Linked DNA regions of Oryctolagus cuniculus. The protein of the gene in region 3 purifies or fractionates together with the protein of the main gene of each other region. This does not show direct contact. Links are inferred from orthologs where the notes say so. Each region holds a gene or a part of one and is shown on either strand. Other genes may lie near its edges. The genes, in order: RNF182, TWIST1, RELA, PRMT5, DAXX, STAT3 and RPS3.

Region 1 (4,218 bases), on a different chromosome or scaffold from region 3:
CTGAGCTGCACTCTGCCCCTCTGGAAGGGTAACGCAGGCCAGGGGCCCATTGGTGTCCAGACTACAACCACAACACACGGTCTTGCACACAACCCTAACCCTTCCAGCAACACACAGGTGCCCAGCGCTTGGAACCGTGAACCTGAGCAGCTCATTCACTGTTTCTGGGCCCTCACTGCCAGCGCCCCCCCCCCCCCAAACTGTGATGGGATTCAGTTAACCAAGTCCTCATTGACTTTAAAACGTGATGGGGGAAAAAAAAAAGACAAAATACTCCCGAACTCAGAGCTGCTAATGTAAATGGAACCTCATCTGGGGTGAGGAGCGGGCTTACTCAGCAATGTGGTTCCAAAAGAAAAAAACTAAACCAAACTGTTCAAGGAAATGCTCGAAGAAGAGTTCCATGAACAAAAACTGTTCTATGGGAACTTCGTTCTGCTCACTTCTTGTGAGAAGTCAGAGGAAGAGGAAAAACCAACATGGAAGCAGCCGTGTGTCTCCAAGACAAGCGGCCATCTGTGCAGTACAGTGGACGGTGAGGCCAGTTCCTTGGTGCTCTTCCCTCTCTTTAGCAATGTGGAAAAACAGGTACTCAGCTGAAACCACCCCAGGGAACAGGCTGAGTTTCCTGTTGGCACGGGAGGGAACAGGTGTCTCCACGAGAGACGCAGAGCCCACACACAGCAACAGGGGCCCAGAAAACACTTGAAGCTGCCTCAAGGGGGCTCTCCCAGCAGGAGCACGGAGCAGCTTTCCTCTCCTGTGCACCTGCCATAGGAGACAAGCGCCCCCCCCCCCCGCCCCGGGTGAAATGAGGCATGGACCCATCCCTAACGTCTCCCACAGCACGGCTCCCCACCCCACGTCTGTCTGGAAACACTGCCCTTGCTCTAGGCTGCTCTGCATTGTTTTGCCTCTCTGCTAACCCCTGCATACAAGTGAACATTTTTACCCCCAGCATACAGGAAAGGCAATCAAGCCAACATTCTGATGGGACACAGACCACCAACATGGGCTCCAGGGCTTTGTCAAAGGTCCTGGGGCACAAAACGTAAAGAACGGAAGAGAGACTAAATCATGAACTCCCTAGCTTCAAACTCAGCAGCATGTGTCAAGTTTCTGGATCTTGCATATCAGTTAAGAAGGAGGTGCCATGCAGTCTAGAAATTCATGGCACACGCACTGGCAGAAGCCATACACCATGAGAATGACCAGGCTCGAAGGGACCAGGCTGACAAAGACCACTCCCAGAGTGACTTTCTTGGACACCAGTAGGTAGATCCCCAGAGGCAGGGAGCTGAAGTACAGTAAGCCCAGCAGCCACACCAGCACCCGGATGCATGTCTGGAATAGCAGTGATGTGCAGTTCCACACAGTCCAGTTGTGCGACACAGTGGTGACAGAGTCGAAACTCGCGGGCCTGTAGAACTCCACCACGGGCGTGGAGCTCAGGGACGGGGAGCTCTCTCTCTGCACCTCCATGATGGTTATGACCAGGCAGTTGGAGGACGTGTGCGAGGGGCTGACCAGAGAGGCCAGCCTCTTGGGCGTCAGCAGCAGCTCAGTGGAGTTCTCTGGCAGGCACTTCTTCCCTCTGCCTCCACAAGTCAAGTTCACAAGGATGTTATTGTCGTCTGGCAGGCTGCTCACTTCATCATCCGGCAGGCAGGTCTCAAACCTGCAGAAGGGGCAGACGATGACCCCTTGTGGGGAGTCCCCGAAGTCGATGATCTTGTAGAGGCATTTGGCACAGACCCTGTGACAGCAGCCCAGCACTTTGGGTTTCCTCTGTTTGAGATTGTAGCGGTTGTAACAGATCTTGCACTCCAGCTCGTCCGACACCTGAGACTCCGCAGTGTCCTCGGGCGGCTGGCTGGCCATCTCGGATCCCGGATGCAAACCCCCTAGATGCCTCTGCTTGAGGAACGCCTTCGGTTAAGGGGTCCCTCTGAACAGCCTATCATGTGAATCAGGCAGAGAGGCAGGAAGGCTCAGGAAATGGGGAGAGGAGCCAGAAATCACTGGGCATTTCAGCTTCTTGCGTAGAACTCTCTGTCTCAAATGCAGATTTTAACTGGGCACATGGAGGGTCTGCAAAGAAAACAAAGAGATTCTAATAGAGTGAGCAGGTCTCGGAAAAGGTGTTCCTGAAAAGACTTTCATGGGATTTCCCGAGCTTCACGGATTCAAAGCAATGACAGACAGCAAAGGCTAAATCCCCTCCATCTTTTCACACATTGCCGTCCCCTGGTCGGGAGGGTGTGCTCTGTGGGCTTGGCCGTTTCACTGCACAAGCATGCTGGTGACAAAAGAAGTGAGAGTCCTAATGGGTGCAAGTGCACGGCAGGGCACCTGCTTCAGAGCTGGGGACTTCAGTGCACTGTCTGGATGTGGGAGATGTTCACTCTGCAAGTTGTAATCGACCCTGGCCTCTCTGGAAGAGAACGGGACATGCATCAGAAATAACAGACTGAGTCACAGCACTGCTGGTGTACCAGTTGTCCAAATGCCCTCGACACTGCTTAAGGGCACAAAAAAGAAAGACATCTCAGGACTGGCATGGTGGAGTCTGTGATGTCAGCATCCCATATGGGTGCTGGTTTAAGTTCGGGCTGCTCCACTTCCAATTCACCTGCCAATTAGTGTGTCTGGGAAAGCAGGGGAAGATGGCCCAAGTGCTTGGGGCCCTGCCACCCATGTGGGAGACCCAGAGGAGCTCCTGGGTTCCTGGCTTTAGCCTGGCCCAGCCCTGGTCATTGCAGCCCTTTGGGAAGTGAAACAGCAGATGGAAGACCTGTCTCACTGTCTCTCTCTCTCTCTCTCTTACTGACTTTGAAATAAATAAATACATCTTTTTTAAAAAAAAAAAAAAAGAAAGAAATCTCAAGGGAAAATGCTAACAATGTGTTTTCTGAGGGTGCTTGGATAGAGGTGAGAGGCTATTTAAGCAAAGCAGGCTGCTCTCACCTTCTCAGTGTAAACACATCAATTACACAAATGACTTTACTGTTTTGACTTCAACTTCAAATTCTTGGTTTCAATACCAGTCTTGTAAACATAGTTGTACATAGTCATTTACTCAAGGAAGAAAGAAGTATATAACACCCAAATAAGCATTATTAGGAAGTCAAGTCTAATTCCTACAAAAGAAAAATAAACACAGACAACAGAAGCACAGTTCTATCCTCAGACAGGCATGGCTACCAAGAAATACACATCACCTCCTCACCTACTCTATGAGTATTTCTTTTTGCTTCAAGATTTATTTATTTATACTTACTTATTTGGAAGGCAGAGTGAGAGAGAGACAGAGACAGAGACTATCTGCTAGTTCATCCCCCAAAAGGTTGGAAGAGTTAGGGCTGGAACAGGCTGAAGTCAGGAGCCTGGGACTCCATCCAGGGCTCTACATGGGCAGCAGGAACCTGAGTACTTGGGTCATCCTCCCCTGCTTTCCCAGGTGCATTAGCACGGAGCTGGACAGGCAGTGGAGCAACAATCAGGATTCCGAGCAGTGCTCCAGCATGGGATGCTGGCACTGCACGAGGCTAGGTTAACCTACTACACCACAATGCTGGCTCCTCTATGAGTATTTCATGTAAGCTCTCTTCCTATAGCAAACACAAAGCACAATACAATTGACAGTCCTCTTACTATTAGCAGTATTATCTTACTGGCTTTGGACAAATGGTGGAAGGTTGGACTTCACATGCACACTCAGTTCTCAATTAACAGTACTAACGGAAGGGAGCAGCAATATGGGGACGCTCCAAATCACTCACTTAGCTTTAATAAACATGATATTTTTGGTAGCAGATTTGTCTTAAGTTATGCTTTGCTTTAAAAAAATACCAAAATGTATTTGAATTTCTGAGCACACCCTAAGCAGAAGGCTGTCACAACAGCTCTGAGAAACAGAAAGCAACTGTGCTGGAATTTAAATTTGCTATGGATCATGCTGCATTAGCAGACATGAGGCAGTGAGGAGCTAAACTTGGGCAGTTTTAAAAATCACGAGTAGCTGACTTGTCAATACAGAGTAGCTTCCTTTTTATTTATGACTTTAATTTTTAAATTAACTGCCTATTCTATACAATGTACAATGGAAATCCGTGGCAAGACATATAGTTGGTGGCAAAAGGAAGTCAATCAATGGAATCTCTGGAGATGAGCCAAAAAAAAAAAAAATAGGTAAGATTTTTAAAAACAGAGTTTATC
Region 2 (4,181 bases), on a different chromosome or scaffold from region 3:
TTCGTCAAACAGGAGGGACATAAACTCTTTCCTGAATTAAACTCTGCTCTGGTGCGTGCACTTGTATCCATTAATGTGGTAGGATCATCAGCCCATCATTTTATCCTATTATTTACCAATCCTCACAATGAGTGGAGGCCAGGACCAAAATACACAGGAACAGGAGAAAATCCTGCTGGCTCCATGCTTGCTTGTCTATGTTAGCCGGTTACCACCCCGAATACAAGATAGGAAGAGCCAGTTGGTGGAAGTTTTGATATTTGGGACTTGACAAGGGATGAAGAGATGCTACTGAGCCCGCCGAACAGCAAACTGGAGTAATAATAAAGCTGTCTTTTTAAATACCACGCCTGTGCCTGTCAGTAGCTGGTTTATTTGAGTTTTTCACTGCTTTGTTTATCTTAGTGCTTGGTGCCTCCTGGGTGCCTCCATAGTTAAACAAGCAGGTATTCACCACCAACTTACTCCTGAGCTTTAAAAATATAGAGCAAACTCTAAGGTTCTTAAAATTTTCAATCATATTTATTTATTGCAGAAAAATAATATACAAAGATATTTACAAAACAATCATAAAAATAGGAATGCATTTAGACACCGGATCTATTTGCATTTTTACCATGGGTCATCAATAAATAAATAGAATGTTGTTTTTTGTATTTTAAGTTTTTTTTTTTTTCCCTCAGAGGAAGAACGAAAAACGGAATTAACTGACTATGGTTTCTGCAGGCCAGTTTGATCCCAGTATTTTTTTTTTTTTTTATTTCTAAAGGTGTTCTTAAAATTCCTCTGATCGTTACCATTTTAAAATAGAGAAAAGTCCGTGATGATGCCTTTCCTTTCAGTGGCTGATTGGCACGACCTCTTGAGAATGCATGCATGAAAAAAATAAAAATAAAAACATTCTTCGTCAAAAAAAAAAAGCCCCAAAAAACAAAAACAAAACAGAAACACAAAGGAACACAAACAACTGTTCAGACTTCTATCAGAATGTAGAGGATGGTGCCGCTGCGCATCTGGCCATCACTGTCCACGGGCCTGTCTCGCTTTCTCTCTTAAAAGTGCGCCCCACGCCCTGTGTCTTTGAATTTGGGTTCTGCTCTTCTAATCTCCAAGACAATCTTTGGCATAGATATTTATTATTTAGTTATCCAGCTCCAGAGTCTCTAGACTGTCCATTCTCTCCTCCTCTGGACACAAGGACATCTGAAAAAGCCCAGAGCAGGGGAGGAAAGTCGATTAACCGGCGGGGGTCCCCGCGGCTGCGGGCTGGCGACCGGCTCGCACGGCCGCCCGCACCGCCGCCGAGCGCCGCGCCGCGCGGCCGGGAAGGATTTCAGCCCCAGGGCGAGAGGAAGTGGGTGGGCGGAAAGAGGGAGGAGGTGGAATCTGGAAACATTTGTTTTAAGGAGGAGAACGAAATCTTCCAGCCGAAAGGAGGAAAGAGGGGCGCGGGCGGAACTGAGTTTCACCCGCGACGCTCCGGGCTTTCGCGGTCTCCCCGCGCGCGCGCTCGCGCACAACCCCCACCCACCCACTCCCCGGCCCGGGCGCGGGAAGCGGGGCGGGGCGGGGGGTGGAGGTGGCGAGGGGAGCGTTAGCCGGGCGGCCGGCGAGGCGCACCGGGGGCCGCGGTCGGCCGCGCGCGCAGCGGCGAAGGGGCGCACAGGCGCCGCTCCTTACCTAGGGCTCCGGGCCCTGCCGAGGGGGTGGGGAGCTCCGCCTGCTAGTGGGACGCGGACATGGACCAGGCCCCCTCCATCCTCCAGACCGAGAAGGCGTAGCTGAGCCGCTCGTGGGCCACGTAGCTGCAGCTTGCCATCTTGGAGTCCAGCTCGTCGCTCTGCAGGACCTGGTACAGGAAGTCGATGTACCTGGCGGCCAGCTTGAGCGTCTGGATCTTGCTCAGCTTGTCCGAGGGCAGCGTGGGGATGATCTTCCGCAGCGCGGCGAACGCCTCGTTCAGCGACTGCGTGCGCTGGCGCTCCCGCACATTGGCCATGACCCGCTGCGTCTGCAGCTCCTCGTACGACTGCGGGCTCCCGCCGCCGCTGCTGCTGCCGCCACCGCCGCCGCCCGCGCCGCCACCACCGCCGCCGCCGCCACCGCCGCAGCCCGCAGACTTCTTGCCGCGCTTGCCCTGCGCCGGGCTGCCGGGCTCATCGCCGGCTGCGACGCCCCCGCCCGCGGCCCCGCCGGGCCCCGCGCCGCCGCCCGCGCTGCGCCGGCTGCTGCGCCGCTTGCGCCCCCCGCGCTTGCCGCTCGGCGGCTGCTGCCGGTCCGGCTCCTCCTCGCTGTTGCTCAGGCTGTCGTCGGCCGGCGAGACTGGCGAGCTGGACACGTCCTGCATCATCTCTCGGGCGGCGGCGCGCGGCCTCGCGGGCCCCGGGGGCAGAGGAGCAGAGCCGGGCTCTTCAGCCCGCCAGCTTCCCCCAGCGCGCGGCGCCGGCCGGGGCGGTGCGGCCCGGCGAGGAGCTGAGCGGGAGGACCTCCGCGGGAAGGGCGCGCGCGGGGGGGAGGCGGGCAGGAGGCGGGCGGGGGAGGGGACGGTGTGGATGGCCCCGAGGTCCAAAAAGACGGCGCCCAGCGGCCGCACGCACACCCGGCCGGGCCTCCTGGAAAGCGGGCCGGTGCTGGCGAGCCCGCGAGGTGTCTGGGAGATGGGCGCAGGCTGCGGGCTTGGAGGCTCTTATACCTCCGTGCGGGCGGAAAGTTTGGGGGCAGCAGTGTCATTGGCCTGACGTGGGGAGGAGGGACTTTTCCAGGTTTCATAGCAAAGTTTCCGCTCTCCAGCCCCCACCCCCGGCCCGGCCCCCCGCCCGCCTCCTCCTCCTCCTCTCCTCCTCCTCTCCACCACCTCCTCCTCCTCTTCCTCCTCGGGGTCTAACAATTCGTCCTCCCAAACCATTCAAAAACGACCCGGCCCCGGCTGCCGGCCGCTGCGCCCGCCTCCTCGCCTCCCTCCCGCTAGCCTCGCGGGCGGACGCGGGGCGGTTTCCTTCCGCGCCGCAGCGCGCGGGTGGCGCGCCCCGCACCCGAGCGCGGCGCCGGGAAGCGGCCAAGGGGACCGTCCCGTCCGCCGTGGCAGCTCCGCCCGGACGGCGGCGGTGACAGCAGAGGCAGCGGCTTCGACGCAGTGGATAGATGCCTCGTCTCGCCCCAGTGCCCGCCTGCTAGGTCCACGGGGCCTGTTGGGGGGAATCTCAGTAGCGGTGGGTGGGGGCGGGGAGCGGCCCGCAAACTGTCAACCGCGGAGAACCCCACCTCCCACCCCTTCAGCGGCCAGGTGGCCGACCCCGGTGCTGTCTCCAGGGCCGCGGCTCAGAGGTCGTGGGCGTTTGTGGAGACGTGGCCGCGCCGCGCCTTGGAGGCTGTGCGCTGCGCCCCGGGCCTGCGCCAGCACCCGGCCCCGAGCAGCGTCGGGGCACTCTTCCGTTCTCCACACTGTCCCAACCTCAAACTGCCCTGTGCCTAACGGACTGCGCCTGCGAGGGTGCTGAAAGGGGCCCAAGTGCGCGCCCTGCCCGAGGCGAATGGAAGCAGGGCCGGAGGGAGCCAGCGCAGCGCCGCCCGCCCAAGGGGGGAGGATCCTGTGGCCCCTTGATTACCACCTTGCCCCGGACTTGGATTCCCGCACGGTGACCCCGAGAGGTCAGCCTCTAAGAGGTGGGGAGTCTCCGGAGCCTGGGCACGGGGGCCCGTGCGCTGCGAGGGCCTTGCCCCCCAGCCCCCTTCCTTGGCGGTCCAGCGGGTGGGGATGGTCCCAGCGCCCCTGCAGTTACTCGGACACGTTTGCATTTGAAGCATTTCCACCCAAGACTTCAGAACGAAGGGTCCCCCGAAGGAGGGTGTGAAGGCAGCGGCTGGCACCCTGGAAGCCAGCAAACCCGTGGGCGGGAGTGGAAGCGGCGGGGGAGGAGAAGCCCATCCTGGCCCTGCTGCGTTGGTTTCTTTCTTTTTGGAACGAGTTGGGGGCGAAACAACCGCTTCGTGGACATCTCTTTAACGTTAGCCGCCAAGCCAACCAGAGGTCACAGGCGCGGCGGGAGTCTGCGTGGGCCAGCAGGGTTTGGGGGCGCGGGCTTGCGTACCGGGAGGCGAGGTCCGCGCAGGGGGCTCCCCTGACTGGCTCGTCTCGCCAGCGAGAACCCGGCACTCGGCCAGCAGCCTCCTTCCCCGGCCCG
Region 3 (4,275 bases):
GCGAGCCACGCTGACCCGGGCAGTCTCCCGGGCCCCATCGTACCCACCTTGGCCACGCGCCCGTCCCTCCTGACCCTGCTTCCTGCCCCCAGGGTTCCCGCGCTGCTCTATTTTTATTCATCCTGCTCATTATTTAATTAAAAACTGCAACTGATGATGCCGCCCAGTCCCTCTGCAAGCTTCCCGGGCTGTCATCAGGGAATCGTCACCGCCCAGGACACCTCGCTCTCGTAATGTCCACTTCCCACAGTCCGTGGTGTAGGTGGGGGCATGCCACTCTCTCGCCACGTGATCCGGAAAACGCCCACTTCCTATCAGACCCCCGCCAGCCCCGAAGCCACACCCTCTAGAGCAAGGACGGCTCTGGGTCTGTCCCTGCCTGTCTGCAGCCAGCAGGGCTGGGCACGGGAGATGACACACGGATGCCGGACGACGGGCAGAAGCTCGCCGCAGCCCAGCCCACCAGCCTTCCTGCCGCCCAGGCCCACCCCGGCCCCTGCCCGTGACCCCCGAGCCACTCACGGTTGTCAAAGATGGGATGGGAGAGGACAGGCTGCAGGCGTAGGGGCCTGCCTGCTGGGTCCCGCACTGTCACCTGGAAGCAGAGCCTCACGGCGTTCAGGTCGTAGTCCCCACGCTGCTCTTCTATGGGCACTGTCACAACGGACGGGCGGACGGGCAGGTGTCACACGGGGCGGGGAGGGCCGGCCGCTCTGGCCTGGGGGCTGGCGAAGGGTGCCACAGCGCCGGACAAAGGCCTGCACTGGGACCCCGCAGTCCTGTCCCCTGCCGGGACGTGGTGTCCGGCTGCGGCGTCTTGGCCAGGAGGCCTGGGGTGGGGGCCGGGTGGGGGCGGAGGCTGGGGGGGCGGGGCGGCAGCTGGGGGGGACGGGGGCTGGGGGCGGGGGCGGAGGCCTGGGGCTGGGGCGGAGGCTGGGGGCGGGGGCGGAGGCTGGGGGCGGGGCGGGCAGCTGGGGGCGGGGGCGGGGGCGGGGCGGGCAGCTGGGGGGCCTCACCTTGGAAGGGGTTGTTGTTCGTCTGGATGCGCTGACTGATGGCCTGCTCCAGGTCGCGCTTCTTCACACACTGGATCCCCAGGTTCTGGAAGCTGAGCCCCTCCCCGTCAGAGCGCGGACCCTCCCGCGGTGCCCCGTCTGCACCTCCCCATCCGCCCCGGTCCTGGCTGCAGCGGCTGCAGCGGCTCCCCTGCGCTGCAACACCACCGCTCCTGTCGACGGCCTCCCGCCCTCAGGCCCTGACCTCGGCACCTCTCCCTTCGCCCCGGGATGCTTCCGGGCTTCTCCGATCAGCCTCACCATTCAAGGCCTAGCTGACAGAGGCCACCCCGGGCCTCCCGCCCCCAGGCCACGAGACCAGCACCCCTCCCTCGGCCGGGCTCTCTCCCAGCCTGGAAGTCACGGCTGACACCACGTGCACCGTTTATCTGCACGACCTACAGCCTGTCCGCGGGTGCGCGCTCGGGGGAACCGCAGGTTCGCTGGCAGCCACAGGGTCAGGGCCCCAGCCCGTCCCCCAGGAGTCCCACTCCCAGAAAGGAGGAGCGCAGGAGAGAGCAGTCCGCCCAGCGCGGCCCCGGGCGCTCACCTGTGGATGCAGCGGTCCGGGCAGAGCTCGGCCTCGTAGAAGCCGTCCCGGCAGTCTTTGCCGACCAGCTCGTGCGGGTGAGGCCGGTGAGGGGGGTCCTTGGTGACCAGGGAGATGCGCACCGTCCCGGGTCCCGTGTAGCCATTGATCTGTGCAAAGTACAGCGCGTGCTGGGGGCAGGGCCGGCTCGGCGGCCCCTCCCCCGCGCCCGGCCCGCCACAGGGGGAGCAGGACTGACCTTGATGGTGGGGTGGGTCTTGGTGGTGTCCGTGCTCCGCTCGCCGGGGATGCTGCCCGCCGAGCGGCCCTCGCACTTGTAGCGGAAGCGCATGCCCCGCTGCTTGGGCTGCTCGATGATCTCCACGAAGGGGCCCGAGGCCTGGGCTGGCTCTGCGGGGGCCGGGGGTCCCATCAGGGGCTGCCCCCAGCCCCCCAGCCCCCGGAGCCCCTCCCCGCCACCGAGCAGGGCCGGCCCACTTACCCGAGGGGAAGATGAGGGGGAACAGGTCTGAAAGGGGAGGAGGTAAGGGTCAGCACAAGCCCAGGTCCCCTCCACCCCCCGCCCCAGGGAAACTGAGTCAGGACCTGCTCCGTGGGGGGTACAGGAGCCAGAAACACCTGTTTCCTAAGGGCAAACGGGGTCTGGACCCCCGGCTGTGCTGAGGGAACCCGAGTCAGGGCCCGGCCCACTGTCCTCGGAGGAGCTGTGGGAGGGCGCCCCCCACCCCCCAGCCCCCACCCGAGAGGAAACTGACTCACACCCTCTCCCATAACAACTCCATCAGGGCTGCCCCAGAGGCCATGCGACGGACTCGCCTCAAAGCTCACCCCGCACCCCCACCCCGGGAGGGCCCCCGGTCAAGGCCCCCTCCACGCGGAGGGGAAACTGAGTCAGACCCCCGCCGCCCGCCCCGCCCCGCGCCACCGGCCGGCCGGACCGCTCCCTGGCGCAGCAGCGCCCGCGGCGCAGGAAGCGGCGGAAGGCGGCCCGGGGGTCCCGCCACAGCCCCCGCGGCCCCGGCGCGGCCTCCCCGCCGGCTCCCGGGGCGCCCTCACCGTCCATGGCCGGGGTCCCGGGGGCGGGGCCGGGGTCGCAGCTGGGCCCGCGGCGCGCGCTACAGGGGAGCCATTCGCCAGAGGCGGAAATGCGCCGCGCGCGCCCGTCGCCGCGTCACTGCCCGGAACCCGGCCGCGCCTGCGCGCTGTGCCTGTGCCGCCGCCGCCGCCGCCGCCCCGCGCGGGGGTCCGGGCAGGTGCGCGCCGCGCCGGGGCGAGCCCGCGGGGGCCGGGGGCAGACGCCGGCCGCTCCGGACACCGACGCTCACCCGCCCGCCCGCCCGGAGGCGGCTCCCGGGGCGGCTCCGCTCGCCCCCGCGTCCCAGCCCCGCCTGGAGGGCGGGCCTGCCGATTACTCACTTTGTTTTTAGGGGATTTCGGGGGCCCCCTCCCGCGGGTCGGAGGAGCTTGGTGATGTCACCCGGGCCGGGCTGGAGCGCGGCCAGAGCGGCTGGGCGGCGGCCGCCCGCCCCGCGCGCGGAGAGCCGGCGGCTTCACCCCGCACGCGTCTCGGCGCGGGGGGCGCGCGGGGTGCGGGGCGCGCCCGACGTCCCCGCCGGCCACTGCCCGCAGCGGGCGAGCCGGGCCCTCGGCCGCGCCAGCCCCGGCCCGCGGGCGGCCCATCGGAGACGAGTGCGGGAGGCGCCCGGATCGGCCCCGCAGCCTCCTCTCTGCACCCTGGCGCGCTCGCCTGCCCACGCCCGGGACCCCCAGGGGCCGCCCGAACCCGCAGGGTCCCGCCCCCCGCGAGAGTGCCCGGGGCCTCCCGCCGCGGCCCTGCGGGCGGGGGGCGGGCCTGGGGCTGGCACAGACCCTCTCCTGGGGTGAGGCTGCGCGCGGCTTCCCCAAAGCGGGGTGCGGGGGAGACTTTGTGTGTGTGTGTATCTTCTCCGAACTCGCACTAAATTAGGAAACCATGTGGGAATTGGAAAAGATTGGAAATTCTGACTTGCTTTCCCAGGCTCTGAAAAAACAGGAAGAGAAAAGTGAAAGAGAGCGAGCACCCCGCCCACCCGCCGGTGTCTCCGGCGCAGTCCGCTTCCCGGCCGCGGGGGCTGCGCGTGCGCCGTCCACTCCGAATAATCAGCGTTTTATTTCCTTGAAAGGCAGAGCGGCCTCCCGCCCCTGCATCACGGCCCAGACGCCGGCCAGCAGCCGGGGAGCTGCGCCAGCTGAGGCCAGGGGCGGGGGTCTCGGGCGGGGGTCTCAGACGGGCGCCGCCCGAGCGGCAGGGACCCCGAGTCTTGGCTGCTGCCCCGGCTGCCCGCCAGGGTCTGCCTTAGCAGGAAGCGGGAAGGGGGAGCCCAGCCGCGACTCCGCAATGGGGTGTGCACGATGCAAGCAACATTGTTTTTTGTTTGTTTGTTTTTTAAGATTTATTTGTTTGAAAAGCAGAGAGAGATAGGTCTCCCATGCGGGTGCAGGGGCCCAAGGACCTGGACCATCCTCCACTGCCCTCCCAGGCCACAGCAGAGAGCTGGACCGGAAGTGGAGCAGCCGGGACTCGAACCGGCGGCCTTACCCGCTATGCTACAGTGCTGGCCCACAACATATCACGTTTAAAAAGGTATTAAGGCCGGCATCCTATATGGGCGCTGGTTTGAGTCCCGGCTG
Region 4 (4,242 bases), on a different chromosome or scaffold from region 3:
AGGATAGTATGTGCCCTTGATGAAATGAGGAAATGATATTCGGCCTCCATGACCTCCCCAAACCCATAACATCAGATTCCAGTAGAGGAGCATTGTATAGTCTATCTGGCCAATACCATCAAACTATCAAGATCATCAGAGACAAGAAACAGCTGAGAAACTGCTACAGCCAAGAGGAATCTAGAGAGATGTGACAATTAAATGTAATATGGGATCCAGAAGTACACAAAAAGTCTGGTAATAATAACAATAATAATAGAAGACACAGCATCTCCAACCCCTTCAGGCTTCATGGTGCATTTTCTTGGCGCTTTGCTTTTCTGACTCTCATCCGTTGGGGGCACTTAAGTCGCACCCAGGACTCGTGGGGCTCATCCCCTCCTGCTCCCTTTCCGGGTTTCCCAGGCCTCTGATCCGCACCGGCTACGGTCAGCTCATCACTCTCAGGGCTTCGTTAGCTACCGTTCTTCCGGCGGGCTCCAGATCCTATTCGGTTCAGACCACGGTTCACCCAGCTCTGTTACACAGCGCCCCCTAGACATCCACTTCAGCACGTCCAGACCCAAACCCCGATTCTCTACGAACCGCAAGGACTGACAGAACCCTGGGCTATCACCCGCCTAACAAGCGGACCCCAAATTCTGTTAACGCCCCCTGCGTAGGGTTCTCGTGCTGCGATCACCTCTCCAGCCCTCAGTGCTGAACCTGTGGGCTCCCTGCCTTCAGGGGTCTCCATTTCCCTCTCTCCGTCTTTCCTTGCTTCATTCCTTTCTTTTTTCCCGTCTCTCTCCTGTAAAGGGAAAATGCATTTCCATGATTCCCGTCCACTGCAATCTCTCACTAAGAATTGGTTTTCTCTACCTCGAGGGGCTGTGAGTGTGCGCTTAGGTGTTGATTTACACCTTTTTGTGTTTGAGACACAAGCACTATTAAACACTGTCAGTTATCACAATCTATTTAAAAAGGTTAACATAGTAAGGGGACAAATCTTGTTTAAACAGAACCCCAGCCATTAACCCAGTTTAGTTGGGTCTAAGCAATGACACAAGGAACACATTTGAAAGAGGTGACGGAAAAGGTTAAGTAAAGATGGCTGTAGGACCCAAGTAACTTGGGACCTGAAAAGTGAGAGGGTGGAAAGAAGTAAAGCTTTCAACAGTGAAGGAAGGAAAACGGAAACCACAATTTCTGGGGAAGGTGATGCAATAAAGGAGTACCAGTCCCAACGAGCCAGCCAGGAGTCGAACCTGGAATCTTCTGATCCGTAGTCAGACGCGTTATCCATTGCGCCACTGGCCCTGAGACAATCGCGCTGGGCTCTGTAATGATTCTTCAAGCTTACAATGCAGGGTTTCATGGGACGTGTAGTCCCTCGGCGGCATTCGGCGGCTGCACAAAGCATTCTGGGAGATTCGGGTTCGTCACGAACCAGACCCTGAGATTGGTAGATCTGCAGGAGCCACGCCGTACGTCACGGTGCAGCCCGCGGATTGGCGGGAAGAGTCACTCTCCACCCCTCCGTCTCTTGCTCCGGAGCTGTGGAGGACGCTCTGGTTGTTAAGGCGACTCGTCCCGCCTTCTCGGGGCCTGGTTCAGCGTGTGATTGGTTGCTAATATCAAGGAATCCCGGCGTGGAGAGCGCGAGGGAAAGATGGCGGCGATGGCGGTCGGGGCTGCCGGTGGGAGCCGCGTGTCCAGCGGGAGGGACCTCAATTGCGTCCCCGAAATAGCTGACACACTGGGGGCTGTGGCCAAGCAGGGGTGAGGGCCAGACCTTCGCGGGCGGAATGCAGGGTCCGAACTCGAGGACGGAAAAGGGCAGGCTAGTCATCCCCGAGAGGCAGGGGTGAAGGGGCCGGATGGGACGAGGGCGTGAGAAACCCCATTACTCCTGAGAGGAGCAGCTTCGGCCCGGCGGGTGGAAAGTTAGGGGAGTCGTGTGGCCTCTTAGTCCAGAAGTCGGGGGAGTTGTCGGGGATACAAAAAGGGGGCATACAGCCAATCCCCTAGGGCTCCGGGGGTAAAATGAGTATGCGGGAGTAGGGGGAAGTGTTGGGGGCAAAGGCGAGAGGAGGTTCATGTGCAGGGAGGGTAGGTGTAGGTAGCCCTGGGGCAGCTCTGAACATCACAGTCCTGGAAAGCCAGTGACCCCAGAGTAGAGAGAATGCTACTTGGCGTGGATTTCCGTCGTTTTCCCTTACTCATCTTTTCCCTGCCTGTGTTTTGGGGGAGAAATTGAGGCACGGTGCAGGGAAGTGGTATGTCCCAGGATGGGCTGCAACCAGGAGCCAGCGCGGTGACTGGTGGCATCTGAAAGGGCTGTGCGCAGTTGAGGTAGCCTAAGTGCAGTGCTTGGCTCTCTTTACATGATGATTCTGGGTCTGTCGCGGTTGTAGGTTTGATTTCCTCTGCATGCCTGTCTTCCACCCGCGGTTCAAGAGGGAGTTCACTCAGGAACCTGCTAAGAATCGGCCGGGCCCCCAGACACGATCAGACCTACTGCTGTCAGGAAGGGGTAGGGACCATCCCATATGCCCCTTAATTGTTAGCAGCAGTAACAACCTCTGCTTTATCAGAGCCCTCGTTCTCCTCCTTTTCTGACTTGGATATATTGGATAGCCCCTGGGATCTAGGGAATTCTCGTTTTCTCCTTGCTTATTTGCTAAAAGCCTTAGTTGCCTATTCTGCATCAGACTATCCCATGTCTGTGGTGGAAAATGCCTTTGTCTCTCATCTCTATTTTCTGTTCCCTACCAAGAACTAGAAATTGAACCAGTACAGTACTGAACCTCATTCAGTTTTTGTCTTTCCCGGGTGGGGGAGTGCAGACTGGAATACGCTAATTGTGGGAAAGCTCTCTCCATGGATCCGTCCAGACTCGAGAGTGGAGAAGATCCGCAGGAACTCGGAGGCGGTAAGACAGTGTTTGACCTCTCCTGGAGCGTTCTAAAGATGACCTCTGTACCCGAGCTGGGTGGGAGAGCGTTTTTCCCTTCCATCAGTTACAAAATCAACTAACAGAATGCAATGAAAGCTATTTGGAGGTTAGCTCTTAACATTTTCCTCCCGTTCTCCATTCCAGGCCATGTTACAGGAGCTGAATTTTGGGGCGTATCTGGGTCTTCCGGCTTTCCTGCTGCCCCTTAATCAGGAAGATAACACAAACCTGGCCAGAGTTTTGACCAACCACATCCACACTGGCCACCACTCCTCCATGGTATGGTCGAGGGTCTCTTTTTCCCACTGCATATCATGGTAGTCAGGCTCTGTGCGGGAGCTTCTTGGGCCTGCCAGTCAGTGAAGCGGGAATTTGGCAGAATGGAAATTATTGCTCACTCCCCTGCTAACAGACAGTTTCACAATATCTCATTATTTCTTGAAACTTTACAATTGAAACACAAGGCAGATTTTTTTTTTAAGGGAGGTAGAGTTACAGAGAGAAATATCTTCCATCTGCTGGTTCACTCTCCAAATGGCCGCAGCTAGGCTGATCCAAAGCCAAGAGCCAGGAGCTTCTTCCAGGTCTCTCAAGCACTCGGGCCCTCTTCTACTGCTTTCCCAGGCCATAGCAGAGAGCTGGGTCGGAAGAGGAATGGCTGGGACTAGAATCTGTGCCCATATGGAATGCCAGCACCTTAGACAGAGGCTTAGCCAGCTACAGCACATTGTTGGCCCCACAAGGCAGATATTTGCTTAAGGATATATACAGGATACATGTACAAAATCACAAATTGGGAAAACCATCTAAAGGGGTTAATTTGAGATCTGGATCAAGGTCTTTTTAATTGTGAGATGGTTATTGGACCCAATGAGTTCAAGAGCGAGTTCTAAAAGGGCACCTGTTGATGTGCAGTTCTGGATGCGTGTGCCCTTGGTGGCACCGGAGGACCTGAGAGATGATATAATTGAGAATGCACCAGCTCCACACTCAGAGGAGTACAGTGGGGAGGAGAAGACGTGGATGTGGTATGTCTCCTTTTGCTACTACTCCAGAGCAAGGGGCAGGGTGAAGGGAAGTACGGGTAGAGCCTGTCGGGAAGTCTCCTTGAGCTGTGGTGATTGGTGGGCCACACATATGTGTGTTTTTCTGTATCCAACTCTGGGCAGGTGGCACAACTTCCGAACTTTGTGTGACTATAGCAAGAGGATTGCAGTAGGTGAGTCTACAAGGGTCCTGGGATAAGTGTCCTTCCTGTGGCGTCTGTGCACAGCACTCAGCAGTTTTGTCCATAGTGAGCAAGC
Region 5 (4,157 bases), on a different chromosome or scaffold from region 3:
CATCATTGCGTATTTGGAGATGACCTCGTCTAGGCGGCTCAAGGCCAAGGTCCGGTTTTCCCGAAGGCGCCGGGCCAAGGCAGGATCTGACAGTGCAGGGTCAATGCCTACATGGGAAGATATGACAGCAGAGCACTCAGCCCACACCCTGGCAGAGAGGGCGAGCGGTCCCCTCTGCCTCCGACGGGCACCCCGCTAACCCGCTACCTGGCCTGTAGTCATCCGTGAGGTGGCAGCCGAAGTTGTAGATGAGGTCGAGATGGCGTCGCTCCTGTAGCCTGACGCCCACATCTCGGAAGGCGTCCTGGGCCATGAGCTGGAGCTGCTGGCGCGGGAGGCCGAGGCTGTGCCGGACAGCTGCCTTCTCTACGGCCCGCAGCACATCACCGTAGTCGGGGAAGGTGTCGGGGCCTGGCTTGTTGATGAGCCGCTCGATGCGCCTGTTGACCTCTGGGTAGCGGGTGCCGCGGTAGGGGATGCGCTGCTCTATGACCCGGCCGGTCAGCGAAGAGCAGTCTTTCAGCTCGCACAGTCGCCCAAAGAGGCGGATCAGCTTCCGCTTCAAGCGCGACTCCTGCAGGTACGTGGAGTCTGGGTCATCCAGTTCTGACAGATCCAGCTCCTTCTCCTGCAGCCTCCGGATCTCCGCCACGTACAGTGCCAGCAGCTGCTCTAGGCGCTGGATCTGCCGGCGGGAGCCACGGGTCCTTGGGGCCTCGGAGACAGCGGCCTCAGCATTGCCGGGCTCCGAGGCCGGGTCTGCAGAAGTATTACTCCCAGAGGGCTCACTGGAGGCGGTGGCAGCAGGAGCGAAGTTCAGCTTCTTCTTGGCTGAGTGGGCCTTGAGAACGGTGCAGAGCTCGTTGATGTAGACGTAGAGCTTGGCGGGCCGGCTCCGGGCCCGGGACAGGACCCGAGAGAGGATGTTGCAGAACTCGGCTGAGGCCAAAAACACAGAGTGGGCACGCTGCTGCCGACTGGAGAGGAACGGGACCACCTCAGGGTGGTCCGCTGTCTGCGTCTTACACAGTTCAAGGAACTGGAGGGTTCGGGGGAAGAAGAGAGCGGACAAGAGACAAGGGAGGGGGTTGAGAGAGAGAAGGGGGGGTGCAGTTAGTGGGGGAGAGAGGACCAGAGAGCCAGTGCGCCATCCCCCTCCCTGGGGTATAAGAATCTTCTCCCCTAAAGCTCACCTCTTCAAACAGCTTCTCATTCTCCAACTTGTAGCATTTCTTGCCGCCAGAACTACTGCTTCCTCCGGCCCCATGGGGCTCAGAGGAGCCAGGGGCTTCTGCCTGGGGTGAGGCCGGAGTGGGGGGTGGGTGGGAGGGCCCTGGCTGAGCGACTGCTTCATCTTCGTCATCATCATCCAGCACAATGATGCTGTTAGCGGTGGCCATGAGGGATCAAATCCCCCGGAGGGAGGAAGTGTTGGGGGTTTCAGAATTCCTGCTGGAAGGGGATGGGGCCTCAGAAAGAGCCCCTCCAGCATAGCCCCTCCCTTCAGCTCAGTTTCCAATCTCCGTGGGTTTCAGCAACACCCAGCCCTGCCCAACAGTGTCCTCACTGCCTGTCTTCTGCAACCATTAGCTCTGGATGCCTTCCCGGGCCCTTCAAGTGGCCCAGGACAGGGAACCGCAAACATTCAATCGCCACACCCAGCTCTACCTCTCACATTGGCTTCCGGTCTTTCTGTTCCATCTCCCCACTATTTCTCATAGTTGTCAAGTTGGTTCTTCCAACCCCAGTCCCGCTTCCCAGATTCCCATGACACCCTCACACACGGAAAACACACTCGCTCTGGCTGCCTCACGTCTGGCCCCTTTCACCCCGAAACATGTCAAACCCATACCCCACCCTTAATGATCACCCCAACTCCTAGACAATCCAACAGTCCTCTCAACGATCCATTCTCCTTTCCCCTCCTGCTATTAACTCCGTATTTCACCCTCTGATGGGCTTCTTCAAACCAGGGCACTGGGTTGGAGTATGACACCTCAAGAGCCCTCCCTCTCACCCCACCCTGATTTTACCTGGTCGCTCTCTGTGACTTGTAACCGATCGTGAGACCTACAGTGGGCTCTCCCGATTCTTCTCGGATCCCACCCTTGAGTCGCGCCGGCAGGGTAGATGAGCTTCCCGCCAAGTCCCCCTCCCCCAGGTCAGACCCCTAGCCGCCCCACTTCCCTTCAGGAATAAGGTACCAGAGCATGCCTCTCAGACTCAGAGCCCGCGTCTCCCCAGTACCGCCTCCTCGATATCCCCTCCCCCGTTTTCGCTCCCCACACAGTCCGGCCCGCACCTCAGAAACGGTCTCACGAGACGACCCTCGCCGCTGATCTCAGAACCTCGCATGGTTCCCTCCGCCTTCCTTCCCCCTCCCACCGCAGGCCCCACTACAGACCGGAAGCCGCGGAGTTTCCGCCTACACGCGTATAAGCGCGGCCATATTGTCGTACGGAGCCCAGCCTTCCTGCTTCCGGAAGGCCCCACCGAGCGTGCCTAGTACCGCCCACCTAGCCCGCGACTCCCTTCCCCCTGACCTGTAGGGGGCGGGGCCTGCCCCTTCAGGGCGTCCCGAAGTTGCTGGGGGCCGCCATTTTGTTGTACGGCCCCAGCTCTGCAGTGACTTGGGCCCTCAGCCGGCGGAGCTATTTTCACCTGGTGCTTCTGGGACTCCGCCAATCAGAAACTTCCTGCCTCGAGCCCAACCGCCAGCTAGTCGCGTGCCGAGACCACTGAGCCACCTTTCCCAGGGGTGGGAGGGGGGCAGTGGAATAGGCTGGCTGAAGAACTGGGGTCGCCAAGGCTGTGCATGGCTTCAGGAAAGGGCAGGCGTGTCTAAACGGGGAAATAAAACCTTTTCCTTCCGCTGGGCAATTAGTGAGGCTTCCGGTCCTGCTTTCCTATCTCCCAGGTACCGGTTTCCACCGCTTAATGGGCTTTGCGCCCCTCGCCGCTGCCCGGCCGCCGCTTCCACTTCCAGGTGCTACGTCCCCGGCCGGGAAATGTCGACGCATGCGTACAAACGAGCACCGCGCTCCCTGAAGGTGGTGGTGGTGGTATTACTATCGCTACGTTGTTGTTGACTGGCTTTCCGAGCTCCGCCTCAGAACTAATCAGCGTCCAAGCCGGCGGGACCCGAGCGGCGCTGCGCTGTTCTCCGAGTGGGGCCTGGACGCTGCGGCGGCATCGGCCCCTCGAGGCTCTGTCGTGGGGTCCGGGGGCTGGGGGGAGCAGCTGGGCGATGGCCCCCGCGCGTGCGGGGAGACGCGGTGGTCTCCTGCTCCTCAGGGAGAGCCGAGGACAGAGTGAGGAAGGAGCCGGAGGAGACGCCTCGCGTGGGGGAGGCCGGGCCGCGTCCCGAGGCGCGCTTGCGGGGACAGCGCGAAGCCCACGCGCGGGTGGTGGCCTCCTGCCTCAGGCCCGCGGCCTTGCATCCCTGACGCTTCCTTTGAGAATCCCTGTCACTTCTCGCCAGTCGTCCAGGCCTACAGCCTTCAAATTGAGCAACAAAACTCGCCAAGACCACTGGGTCTTGACAAAGAGGATTTAAGTTTCAGATCCTCAGCTTTCCCAAAATTGGGCTCCCAGAGCGAGCGCCTGCGGTAGAGGTTCTCCCTCTTCCTTCCCCTTCACAATGGACTTTCTCCATCTTATAATAATTCACAGCCGTGAAGTTGCCTGGGTCTCTTACCTGGCTGAAGTCAAAAGACACGTGGTCTATTTCAGCGATGCACCATGAACACAATCTTCTAGCTTATTAAAAATTCGTAATGCAAAAATTTGCACAATCTTTGTGCTGCTTGATAAATTCGTTTTTCATAATTGTAACGATAAATATTTTTAACAAAGAGTCAAAATCGCAAGAAAGACTTTTTTATTTAAAAAAATGTTTTTTATTTGACAGGTAGAGTTAGAGACAGAGAGAAAGGTCTTCCTTACGTTGGTTCACCCCCCAAATGGCCACTACGGCTGGCGCTGTGCCGATCCGAAGCCAGGAGCCAGGTGCTTCCTCCTGGTCTCCCATGCGGGTGCAGGGCCCAGGCACTTGGGCCATCCTCCACTGCCTTCCCGGGCCACAGCAGAGAGCTGTACTGGAAGAGGAGCAACCGGGACTAGAACCCGGCGCCCATATGGGATGCCGGCGCCGCAGG
Region 6 (4,124 bases), on a different chromosome or scaffold from region 3:
TGAGACTCAAACCAGTTCCCATTCGGGATGCCGGCACTGAAGGCAGCAGGTTTACCGGCAATGCCTCAGGACTGGCCCCTCAAAATATTTATTTTAAAACAAGATTTATTGAAGTCAGAAACCTCCGGATGCAGCAGCCAAGAGGGGGGCTCCAAGAGAGGCAGACCCCCCTCCCAGAAATTTTTAAATGAAAAATCTCCCCCTCCTGCCTCATTCAGTCTTCCCCAAGGATAGCTGTTCTTAATTTTTGGTGAGAAAAAAAATCAGTGTCTCTTAACCTTTGAAGGGGAGTGGATCTCAGAGTTTGGTGGAGAATACGGATTCCAGCCCCAGAAATACTCAGCAATTCACATGGTTCCCCCAAGACTCCAGGTTCAGACTTCTGGTGCGCCCTTAAATCCAAGTGAGAGGTGAGGGAACCCATAAGGCAACCGTCAGTGTCGGGGTGCTGGGACAGCTGTCTCGGGGTGTCCTGTAGATCCCGGAAGTGTGGGATTGCCTGTTTGTAAACAGAGTGCATGTACGGGTCATGGATCACTCTTTATCTTCACCATGGCCACCTCCCCTAAAGTCCATCCCAGCTGTGTGGCCCCTTGCAGTTCACGGCCTCCCTGGTGGCAGAGGGTCTGATATTTGCTCAGTGATTTACTGCTTGGAAGGTGCTCACACACTCTCCTCTCCTTTCTCACAACAGGTCACCTTCATCGCTGACAACGAGGGCCCAATCCCAGCGATACCCGGAGGTGCACCAGGTGGGTCAGAGCCACAGCTTTGTTCCATCCTGGTAAGCTGTGACCCCTGACCCCTCAGGAGCGTTCACTCCCCTCACTGCCCTCGCCACCGTTCTCCCCTGAAATCTACCTCTGAGCCTGCCTGATAAAGGGACAAAAACCCTCTGCAGCCTCCGACTGACCCCAATCCCCACCGGCTGAACGCTGCAGCTTCTCCCTCTTGAGCCGAAGCCTGGCCGCTTCCCTACTGTCTCCTTACTCCATCCCGATCTCCCCTTGGCTACCAGGAGCATCATCCTAAAAGTTATATGAATAAATACTCAGCCCTGTCGCCATCTGCCTCAAAATCTCTTCTGTTCTCCGTGATCCATAGGGTAAAAATCCAAGTTCCTTCAAAAAAAAGCACCAACCTCCTAACTCAGTGCCAGGCATGCGGCAGGAGCTGGGCTGATGCCCCTTGTCCTCTCGATTCGACTCCTAAATCCTGTATTCTCACCTGAAGCCCTTTGTCCAGGCTCATCCCACACCACCTGAACTCCCGCCCTGCCCTGATCACCTTCCCCAGGGCGTGCCAGCACCACCCGCCACTTCAGCCCCTGTGGGTTTTCTTCCCTCCCACCATGTCTCTTCCATTTCCTCGCTCCCTCGCTGAAAACTCTCTCATTCTTGAAGGCGCGGTTCCAGCATCGCCGCCTCTGGGCTTTCCCGGTGCTCCCAGGCAGTCTGCCTCTCGGCTGCCGTCAGCAGGTGTTTCCCCACCTTGAACTGCAATGTATCCATTTACTAGCCCACTTCCTTATAAATGAAATAATTAACCTTTATTAATCACTATGTTCTAGGAACTGTACTGAGCATTTTACGCAGAGATTGTCATTTGATCAAGGACATAGGCGTTCTAATTCTCATTTTATGACTGTGGAAACTAAGGCTTAGAAAGAAAAGGCCTGGGGCTGGCCTTTGGCCGCACAGTGAACACATGTGCCTCCCATATCAGAATGCCCGCCTTCCACGCTCAGCTGCACTCCTGATTCTAATAACCTGCGAATGCAGGCCCTGGGAGGCAGCAGGTGATGGCTCAAACAGCTGGATCCCTGCCAGCCTTTGGGAGACCTGGGTTGAATAACTTGGCTCCCAGCTTCAGCTGGCCCTGTCCTGGCTATTTCAGGCATTTGGGGGGTAACCAGCAGATGGAAGGTCTCTGTTCCTACCCCATCACTCTGCCTTTCTTTCCTTTTTTTTTTTTTTTTTTTTTTTTTTAAACACTGCAGGGCCAGTGCTGTGGCATAGAAGGTTAAGCCTCCACCTGCAGTGCCGGCATCCACAGGTTTGAGTCCCAGCTGCTCCACTTCTGATCCCGCTCCCTGCTAATGTGCCTGGGAAAGCAGCAGAGGATGGCCCAAGTGCTTGGGCCCCTGCACTCATGTGAGAGACCAGGATGAAGCTCCTGGCTCTCAGTTTCAGCCTGGCCCAGACCTGACTGTTGTAGACACTTGGGGAATGAACTGGTGATGGAAGATCTCTCTCTCTCTCTCTCTCTCCCCCTCCTTCTCTGTATTTCTGCCTTCCAAATAAACAAATTAAAAATTAAAAAAAAGGCGCGGTTGGGGTGGGCTTTAGGGCACTGAAGGTTAAGCTGTGGCTTGCGACACCCACATCCCGTATTGTAGCATCTGGGATCAAGTCCTGCCTCTGCTTCCCATGGAAGCTTCCATGGCTTCTGTGCACCTGAGGAGGCAGCAGGTGGTCACTCAAGCACTTGGGTCTCTGCCACCCACATGAGAGACCCAGATGGAGTTCCAGGTTCCTGACCTTGGCCTGACCCAGCCTCGACTATTGCTGGCATCTGGGGAGTGAACCAGCAGACGGAAGATCGCTCTATGTGTGTGTGTCTTTGTGTTGCTCTGCCTTTCAAATAAACAAAACACAAAAACGTGGCATGGCAGAGAAGGCCTCTGGGCTGATAGGTGGGTGGTGAGGCATGGTGGTGACCAAAGGTGACAACATACAGGCAAGGGGTCCTTCACGGGGCTCAGCAACAGGGCTGCCTGGCTCCTCTCACTGACAGCACCGGGAAGAGCAGGGACTTGCTCCGCAGGCATCCTCTTGCAAGCCTCTCTCTTTCTCCCCAGCTGATCAACAGCCCTCCCTCTTCACTGTTGGCAAGGCTGTGTCATTCCCTACTGCCTAAGCAGCATTCACACCATGCCATTCTGTTCCTCCGGGGCTTCCCAGGGAGCTTAGGGGAAGGGGTTTTCCTTTATCTCATCCCTGCAAGGCCCTCCCTGCTGCCTACTGAATTCCAGCCAGGCCACGTCCCAGCCCTTGGTCTTGGCATGTGCCAGCTCCCTCTCTCCACCTGGCTTTGGCACAGCTACTTCCGCCTCACCACTCCCATCTTACTCAGTCTTCCTCTAACCACTCCTGCCTAGAGTTGGTCCCAACTTGTTCATCACTATCTCTCTGTCCAGTTTCCTGGACTCTTATCACAACTCTCATTTTATTTATCTGTTTACAGAGTTTGTTATCTCCCTCCTTACACTGTTAGTTGCACTGGATCTTGGCTCTTTGGTGATCTCTTGTGCGGAGCACATAATAGCTGCTCAGTAAGTAGTGAATAAGTGGAAGTGTTCTGTGTCCCACTTCTGCCTCTGAGCTTTATCAATTCTCTCCTCCCTCCGTCTCTGAAGACACTTCCTCTTTTCTGTCTTGACCCTAGTATTTCCTCAGTTACCCCTCCACTTCTCATCACTGCCCCCACATCTCTACTTGCTCGCCCTAGGTGGCTTCTGCCAGCCCCTGACCAGAGGACAGTGGTCGTGAAGGCCACCAGGGGCCTCCTCCTGACCAGAGTGGACATGCTCTCGTTTCCCGTAGCTTTGCTGTAGAAGCTGATACTGGGCAGCGTCCTAGCCACTCTCTCCCCTTGGCCATCACCGCAGGCAACAGACGCAGTCACATTCACGTGAAAGCTCCCGGGAACTGAAGTGAGACACCCCAAGTTTGAATCCAGGTTCTGGTCCAGGATCAGCTGTGCAGCCTTGGGAGAGTTCCCTAACCTCTCTGAGCCTTGGCATCCTGATCTAACTAGAGAGCATAATTCCGACTTGGTAATTTTGTATTCAAATGTTCTTGCTTGGAAGATACCCTCAAGGTGACTGCGCAGCCTGGTGGATGAGAGCCAGGTCCTGACTCAGTCTACTTCCCAGCCGCTCTGCCCACTGGGCGGTGTGACCCTAGGCTACTTCCTGAACCTCTCTGGATCTGTTTCCTCATCTATGACATAGGAAGAGGAAAGTACCTACACCATAGGTTGTCATTACCTTTTTTTTTTTTTTTAAGGATTTTTATTTATTTGTTTATGTAAAAGGCAGAGTTACAGAGACAGAGGGGGAG
Region 7 (4,243 bases), about 60 Mb from region 3:
GCATAGCCCACCACATTAAGTATCTGGATTTTAAGCTCTCTCATCAGGACTGCTTTCGCGTTTATGGTGCCAATAAGAGTGAAAATCTCAACCGATCAAGTGTCTTCTATCTTGTTCTGACTTTCGGGGCACCCCACAAATTACCAGTAACAGGCTGACTTGCCCACCTCCCAGAAGACACTTAAATCTCATCCAGAGACCAAGGAGAATTGGTCCCCTCCCTGAGCACCTGTTTCTGCTCTCTTCCCAAGCACCTAGAACACCTGTCCACCTTTTCTCATTTTTCTTCTTCAGTCTTCTTAGCCTGCAGCCAGCAAAGGCATGGATTAACAGTACTGTGTTGCTGGAACCCTCAGAGGCTAGCAGAAGCTGTCACTCAACACAAGTTCATTTGTGAAACCAGCAAAGAGCACACACCACATTCTGATGCACACAGAAGGGCATGACCACCAGGCGGCACGACACTTACCTGCGTACAGCAAGCCCTCCTAGGAGTTTGTAACGCAGAGACTCTGCCTGGGCAATGGCACATAGGCCCCTCGTGGCCACCTTTTCAGCGTAAAGCTTTAAAGGAAGCAAAGCACACCCTGTTACCTTCACCCTTGTTTTCAATTCAAAGTCAGCACACTCATTTCTTTCCCCACACCATCACAGGAGGGTACCTCAAAGGGTTTGTGGAAAACGGAACTCAAAGCTAAGTTTATTTCAGTGCAATGTACGTATGACCAAGTCTTCAAAGAGCTCAGGAACAAGAATCATGAAAAAAGCCAGATTTCAAATTTTGGAGGGGCATTAAAATAAGTATCTCTTAATTCCATTCTTCCATAAACCTTTTACATTTTATCACAATAGTATCCCTCAAGTCCAAAAGCACTCCTGCCCACACCCAGGACAGACACAAGCAGACCAAGCCTCACTGCCCCACCTCTGGCTCCTCCTACAGCTACACCAGGGAGACCAATGGCACAGTGCATCCACTTTGTGTCACCTGCACATTCAGGTGGTGTGTAACATCATCATCCACCAGAAATGAGCACACAGGGCTGTAAAACCAAACCCACTGCCCACTGAGAACCTCAACCAATGCCAATCCCACCATAACACTCACTGAGCCTGAGCAGGTCTCCATGGTGAATAAGGGATTTCAGAAGCACCACTCTAAAGAGCCATTGACGTCCACTTAACCTCTGGCATGAGCCAGACCACTCACCTCTACGCTGCCCTCTGGGAAGCCAAACCTCTTCTGAACGACGGCAGTCAGTTCCCGGATTCGCCGGCCTTTCTCACCGAGCACATTCTGTGTCCTGGGCAAGAAAGAGACCACTGATGACGCGCCCAAGATCCTACATGAACTGTGAATTGTGCCTATTATGCATGGTACTAAAGCCCCACTTATCTGCCACAACACAAATACAAATTCTACATGACAGAAATTATTGTTCAATTTTTAAAATGCCGCTTTAAACAATCACATTCACTAACGCCAAATTCACTTGACCGTACCCTTAAAATTTATACAGAGTGATTTCCTTAGTGTATACAACTAGAGATCACTACCCTCCAGTCAAGTGATACTTTACCTGGTGGCTAAAATAATGATTTCTGTCCTGGTTGGTGTAACTCGGACCTCAACTCCAGAGTAGCCATCTTCAGCCAGCTCCCGGGTGAGAAACTCGTTCAGCTCAGCTTTGAAGATGCCGTCAGCAACAAACTAACCAAAAAAGCAAGTTCAGAATTAAAGGAGGGGCTGGCTCACTTCCCTCTGGACCAGTCTAGTCTATCAGACGCCAAGACATCCTTCATCAGAACTCAGTACCTGTGCCAACAGGGATGCTGCAACCCTTCTCAGACAAATGCCTCTTGGTCATCTTGGGGCTGTTGCTTCCACCAGGGCCCTTTCCAGGGTGCCACAGAACGCAGCACGGCGGAAGACCCCCGGGGAGAGCCAGCACCCCCGGTCAGACTCGTCATCACCTCTTCACCGAAGGGCCTCAGATCCTCCACTTCGCGCAGCAGGCACACTGTTCTACCTTGTCACAGGAGCAGGCGTGGGTCAGAGCGGTCTCACCTGCACCCAGCCAGGCACCCTGCCTTACCTTGTGTACCTGTGGGCTTACAGACAGCGGAGCTGCCAACCCTAGCTGCTGCGGAATTTTAACAACGATGTACACACGCAGAATGGCAAACTATGGATGCCTAAAGCTAGCGATTTTGACACGACATGACTTCGAAGTTAAACCCGAGGGAGCTTCCTGCCCCAACGGGACAAGTGAGACCTGTACTGTCGGAAGGCGGCACCCAGGCACCCGTACGGCGGGCAAGACGACGCTGCTCTCTGCCCTTCCCAAAGCCATGGGTCAAGAAGCGAGAGAAACGGCTCACGCCCCTCAAACTACTACACAGTCACTAGATTTGTTGACCAAGACAGGCTCCCCGGAACAGGTGGGGCGCCCCAGGCTCACCGCTGCACTCTTTCCAGCCGGCCACCCAGCGGCCGCCCGCCTCGGGCCTCGCATTCAATCCGCCGCCATCCGCGGCCCGCGGCCACACCACGCACTCTATGCCACTGCCCAAGGACGGGAATGGAGCTCGGCGTCTCGCGGAGGCGACCCGAGAAGTCCCCGACCCGCGCAGCACCGCAGTTCCCTAGATCCCAGCTCCAGATGCTCACCTTCCTCTTCTTAGAAATCTGCACCGCCATCTTGCCGCCGCGCGCAGCCGAAAGGAAAGGAAGTGGCTCGCGGACGGAAATGGGTATAAACGGCTCGGCGCGACGTCGAAAAGCGGCGCGACGTCGACGCCTGCGGGCGCTCATGGGAAATGTAGTTTTAATGCAAAAAGGCCGCAAAGGAGCGAGAAGAGCGAAGGAGTTACCTGTAGTAAGAAACAGGAACTGCAAGGGGACTTAGAGTCCCTTTCTCTAGTTTTGAAAAGGACGGAGAGGCTCAGAGTTTCAGCAAGAGTTTAGGCAGCGTGGAACCCTGGTTCCCACACTTTCAGGTCGATACTAACGAGTATCTACGAGAGCTCCCATTCTCCCCAGTCTCTGTCCATTTCCTCCCTTCCCAATGATAATACCTACTACGTGTTAACGTCCTAGGAACTATTCTGTGCTCTTTATGCACCACTTGCATAAAAGCTGTTACAACCTATAGCAGACTCAGGGTTCTGGCTCACGTGCGCACAATTCTACATTTAACTTCGGCACTAAAATAACTCTGATGCAAATGACTGGTCCTTTCATCATGAGATTATAATAAAGTGGAGTTCCGTGGGAGCTAAGCAGAGGGCCAGGGAAGGGAAAAGAAGTGGATGGGGGCAGGCATTTTAGCCTAGACCCTAAGTCGTACACATCCCACATGGGAGTGGCTCGATTTGATACCTGGCTCCAGGTTCCTGCTGATGAAGACTCTGGGAGGCAGCAGCCATGGTTCCAATGACTGGTTCCGTCCACCCACCTGGGAGAGCCGGATTGAGTCCCCAGCTCCTGGCTTTGGCAGGCCCAGGCATTTGGAGAATGAACTGGTGGATAGGAGCCCTCTCAGTGTCTGTCTGTCTGTCTCTCTCTCTCTCTCTGAGAGACAAACACACTCATAAAGAAAAAGAGGATGAACCAAAGACACAGCTGGGACCCCGACATGTCTTAATGATGGATTGAGGTTGAGGGGGGAAATTGAGGTGGTGCCTGGTTTCTGGCTTCCACGGTGGCCGCCTCGTGACAGCCCTCACTGAGACAAGGAGCTGGAGAGCAGGGTTCTTCCTCATCGGCTCCATGGTCTGCTGAACGCGGCCCTGGTCAGTCCCCCCGCCTGACTTCTCTAGGGACATGGGCAAGCAGCAGGGCACCCGCCCGTGAGTGCAGGGTCAGAGGAAAGTCCCCGGGGCCCACTGCAGTCAGGCTCCTGTCCTTCTAGATGACCTGCTTTGCGCCCTCATCCCCGTGGGCCTCTCCTCCTCCCAGTGTCCACTCTGATCTGCGTCAGAGCTTGAACCCCACTCGCAGGAGTCCCCCCGCCCCGCCTCACCCCTTGACCATACAAATGATACTGGCAAGAGCTGCTCCCTCCCACTCCTCCCTGTGTCCCGCATGTTCCTGGCCATCCTTCCCCACCTCCTTCCCCGCGTAGGAAGGGGCTGGCATTGTGGCATAGCGGGTAAAGCCGCCACACGGGTGCCAGTTGGTGTTCTGGCTGCTGCACTTCCAATCCAGCTCCCTGCTGATTGCCGGGAAGAAGCAGCAGAA

The links.
Region 1: the proteins of RELA (region 3) and RNF182 purify together in Homo sapiens (affinity purification with western blotting; 3 studies listed by BioGRID). This does not show direct contact. The link is inferred for Oryctolagus cuniculus from reciprocal best matches to the Homo sapiens genes RELA and RNF182.
Region 2: the proteins of RELA (region 3) and TWIST1 purify together in Homo sapiens (affinity purification with western blotting; 3 studies listed by BioGRID and IntAct, with this or other methods). This does not show direct contact. The link is inferred for Oryctolagus cuniculus from reciprocal best matches to the Homo sapiens genes RELA and TWIST1.
Region 4: the proteins of RELA (region 3) and PRMT5 purify together in Homo sapiens (affinity purification with western blotting; 3 studies listed by BioGRID). This does not show direct contact. The link is inferred for Oryctolagus cuniculus from reciprocal best matches to the Homo sapiens genes RELA and PRMT5.
Region 5: the proteins of RELA (region 3) and DAXX purify together in Homo sapiens (affinity purification with western blotting; 4 studies listed by BioGRID and IntAct, with this or other methods). This does not show direct contact. The link is inferred for Oryctolagus cuniculus from reciprocal best matches to the Homo sapiens genes RELA and DAXX.
Region 6: the proteins of RELA (region 3) and STAT3 purify together in Homo sapiens (affinity purification with western blotting; 5 studies listed by BioGRID and IntAct, with this or other methods). This does not show direct contact. The link is inferred for Oryctolagus cuniculus from reciprocal best matches to the Homo sapiens genes RELA and STAT3.
Region 7: the proteins of RELA (region 3) and RPS3 purify together in Homo sapiens (co-immunoprecipitation; 5 studies listed by BioGRID and IntAct, with this or other methods). This does not show direct contact. The link is inferred for Oryctolagus cuniculus from reciprocal best matches to the Homo sapiens genes RELA and RPS3.

The regions. Positions count from the first base shown.
Region 1 is NC_091436.1:156,663,347-156,667,564, forward strand, and holds the start of RNF182 (E3 ubiquitin-protein ligase RNF182), read right to left. Parts: upstream 2,801-4,218; 5' UTR 1,882-2,800; coding exon 1,138-1,881; 3' UTR 1-1,137. UniProt on the Homo sapiens protein: E3 ubiquitin-protein ligase that mediates the ubiquitination of ATP6V0C and targets it to degradation via the ubiquitin-proteasome pathway.
Region 2 is NC_091447.1:11,241,645-11,245,825, forward strand, and holds TWIST1 (twist-related protein 1), read right to left. Parts: upstream 2,694-4,181; 5' UTR 2,351-2,693; coding exon 1,724-2,350; 3' UTR 1,681-1,723; intron 1,204-1,680; 3' UTR 501-1,203; downstream 1-500. UniProt on the Homo sapiens protein: Acts as a transcriptional regulator. Inhibits myogenesis by sequestrating E proteins, inhibiting trans-activation by MEF2, and inhibiting DNA-binding by MYOD1 through physical interaction. This interaction probably involves the basic domains of both proteins.
Region 3 is NC_091432.1:6,038,161-6,042,435, reverse strand, and holds the start of RELA (transcription factor p65), read right to left. Parts: upstream 2,801-4,275; 5' UTR 2,669-2,800; coding exon 2,662-2,668; intron 2,114-2,661; coding exon 2,087-2,113; intron 1,996-2,086; coding exon 1,844-1,995; intron 1,755-1,843; coding exon 1,606-1,754; intron 1,109-1,605; coding exon 1,017-1,108; intron 655-1,016; coding exon 523-654; intron 1-522. UniProt on the Homo sapiens protein: NF-kappa-B is a pleiotropic transcription factor present in almost all cell types and is the endpoint of a series of signal transduction events that are initiated by a vast array of stimuli related to many biological processes such as inflammation, immunity, differentiation, cell growth, tumorigenesis and apoptosis.
Region 4 is NC_091443.1:52,081,908-52,086,149, forward strand, and holds the start of PRMT5 (protein arginine N-methyltransferase 5), read left to right. Parts: upstream 1-1,442; 5' UTR 1,443-1,651; coding exon 1,652-1,761; intron 1,762-1,787; coding exon of another isoform or gene 1,788-1,846; intron 1,847-2,396; coding exon 2,397-2,515; intron 2,516-2,828; coding exon 2,829-2,914; intron 2,915-3,082; coding exon 3,083-3,217; intron 3,218-3,853; coding exon 3,854-3,966; intron 3,967-4,107; coding exon 4,108-4,157; intron 4,158-4,242. UniProt on the Homo sapiens protein: Arginine methyltransferase that can both catalyze the formation of omega-N monomethylarginine (MMA) and symmetrical dimethylarginine (sDMA), with a preference for the formation of MMA.
Region 5 is NC_091436.1:135,803,001-135,807,157, reverse strand, and holds the start of DAXX (death domain-associated protein 6), read right to left. Parts: upstream 2,801-4,157; 5' UTR 2,662-2,800; exon of another isoform or gene 2,544-2,661; intron 2,437-2,543; exon of another isoform or gene 2,303-2,436; intron 2,171-2,302; exon of another isoform or gene 2,034-2,170; intron 1,453-2,033; 5' UTR 1,401-1,452; coding exon 1,194-1,400; intron 1,040-1,193; coding exon 208-1,039; intron 108-207; coding exon 1-107. UniProt on the Homo sapiens protein: Transcription corepressor known to repress transcriptional potential of several sumoylated transcription factors. Down-regulates basal and activated transcription.
Region 6 is NC_091448.1:20,437,440-20,441,563, reverse strand, and holds the start of STAT3 (signal transducer and activator of transcription 3), read right to left. Parts: upstream 2,801-4,124; 5' UTR 2,756-2,800; intron 2,135-2,755; exon of another isoform or gene 2,000-2,134; intron 1,073-1,999; exon of another isoform or gene 902-1,072; intron 753-901; exon of another isoform or gene 695-752; intron 404-694; exon of another isoform or gene 287-403; intron 1-286. UniProt on the Homo sapiens protein: Signal transducer and transcription activator that mediates cellular responses to interleukins, KITLG/SCF, LEP and other growth factors. Once activated, recruits coactivators, such as NCOA1 or MED1, to the promoter region of the target gene.
Region 7 is NC_091432.1:66,517,396-66,521,638, reverse strand, and holds the start of RPS3 (small ribosomal subunit protein uS3), read right to left. Parts: upstream 2,801-4,243; 5' UTR 2,702-2,800; coding exon 2,672-2,701; intron 1,988-2,671; exon of another isoform or gene 1,841-1,987; intron 1,712-1,840; coding exon 1,581-1,711; intron 1,305-1,580; coding exon 1,211-1,304; intron 565-1,210; coding exon 470-564; intron 1-469. UniProt on the Homo sapiens protein: Component of the small ribosomal subunit. The ribosome is a large ribonucleoprotein complex responsible for the synthesis of proteins in the cell. Has endonuclease activity and plays a role in repair of damaged DNA.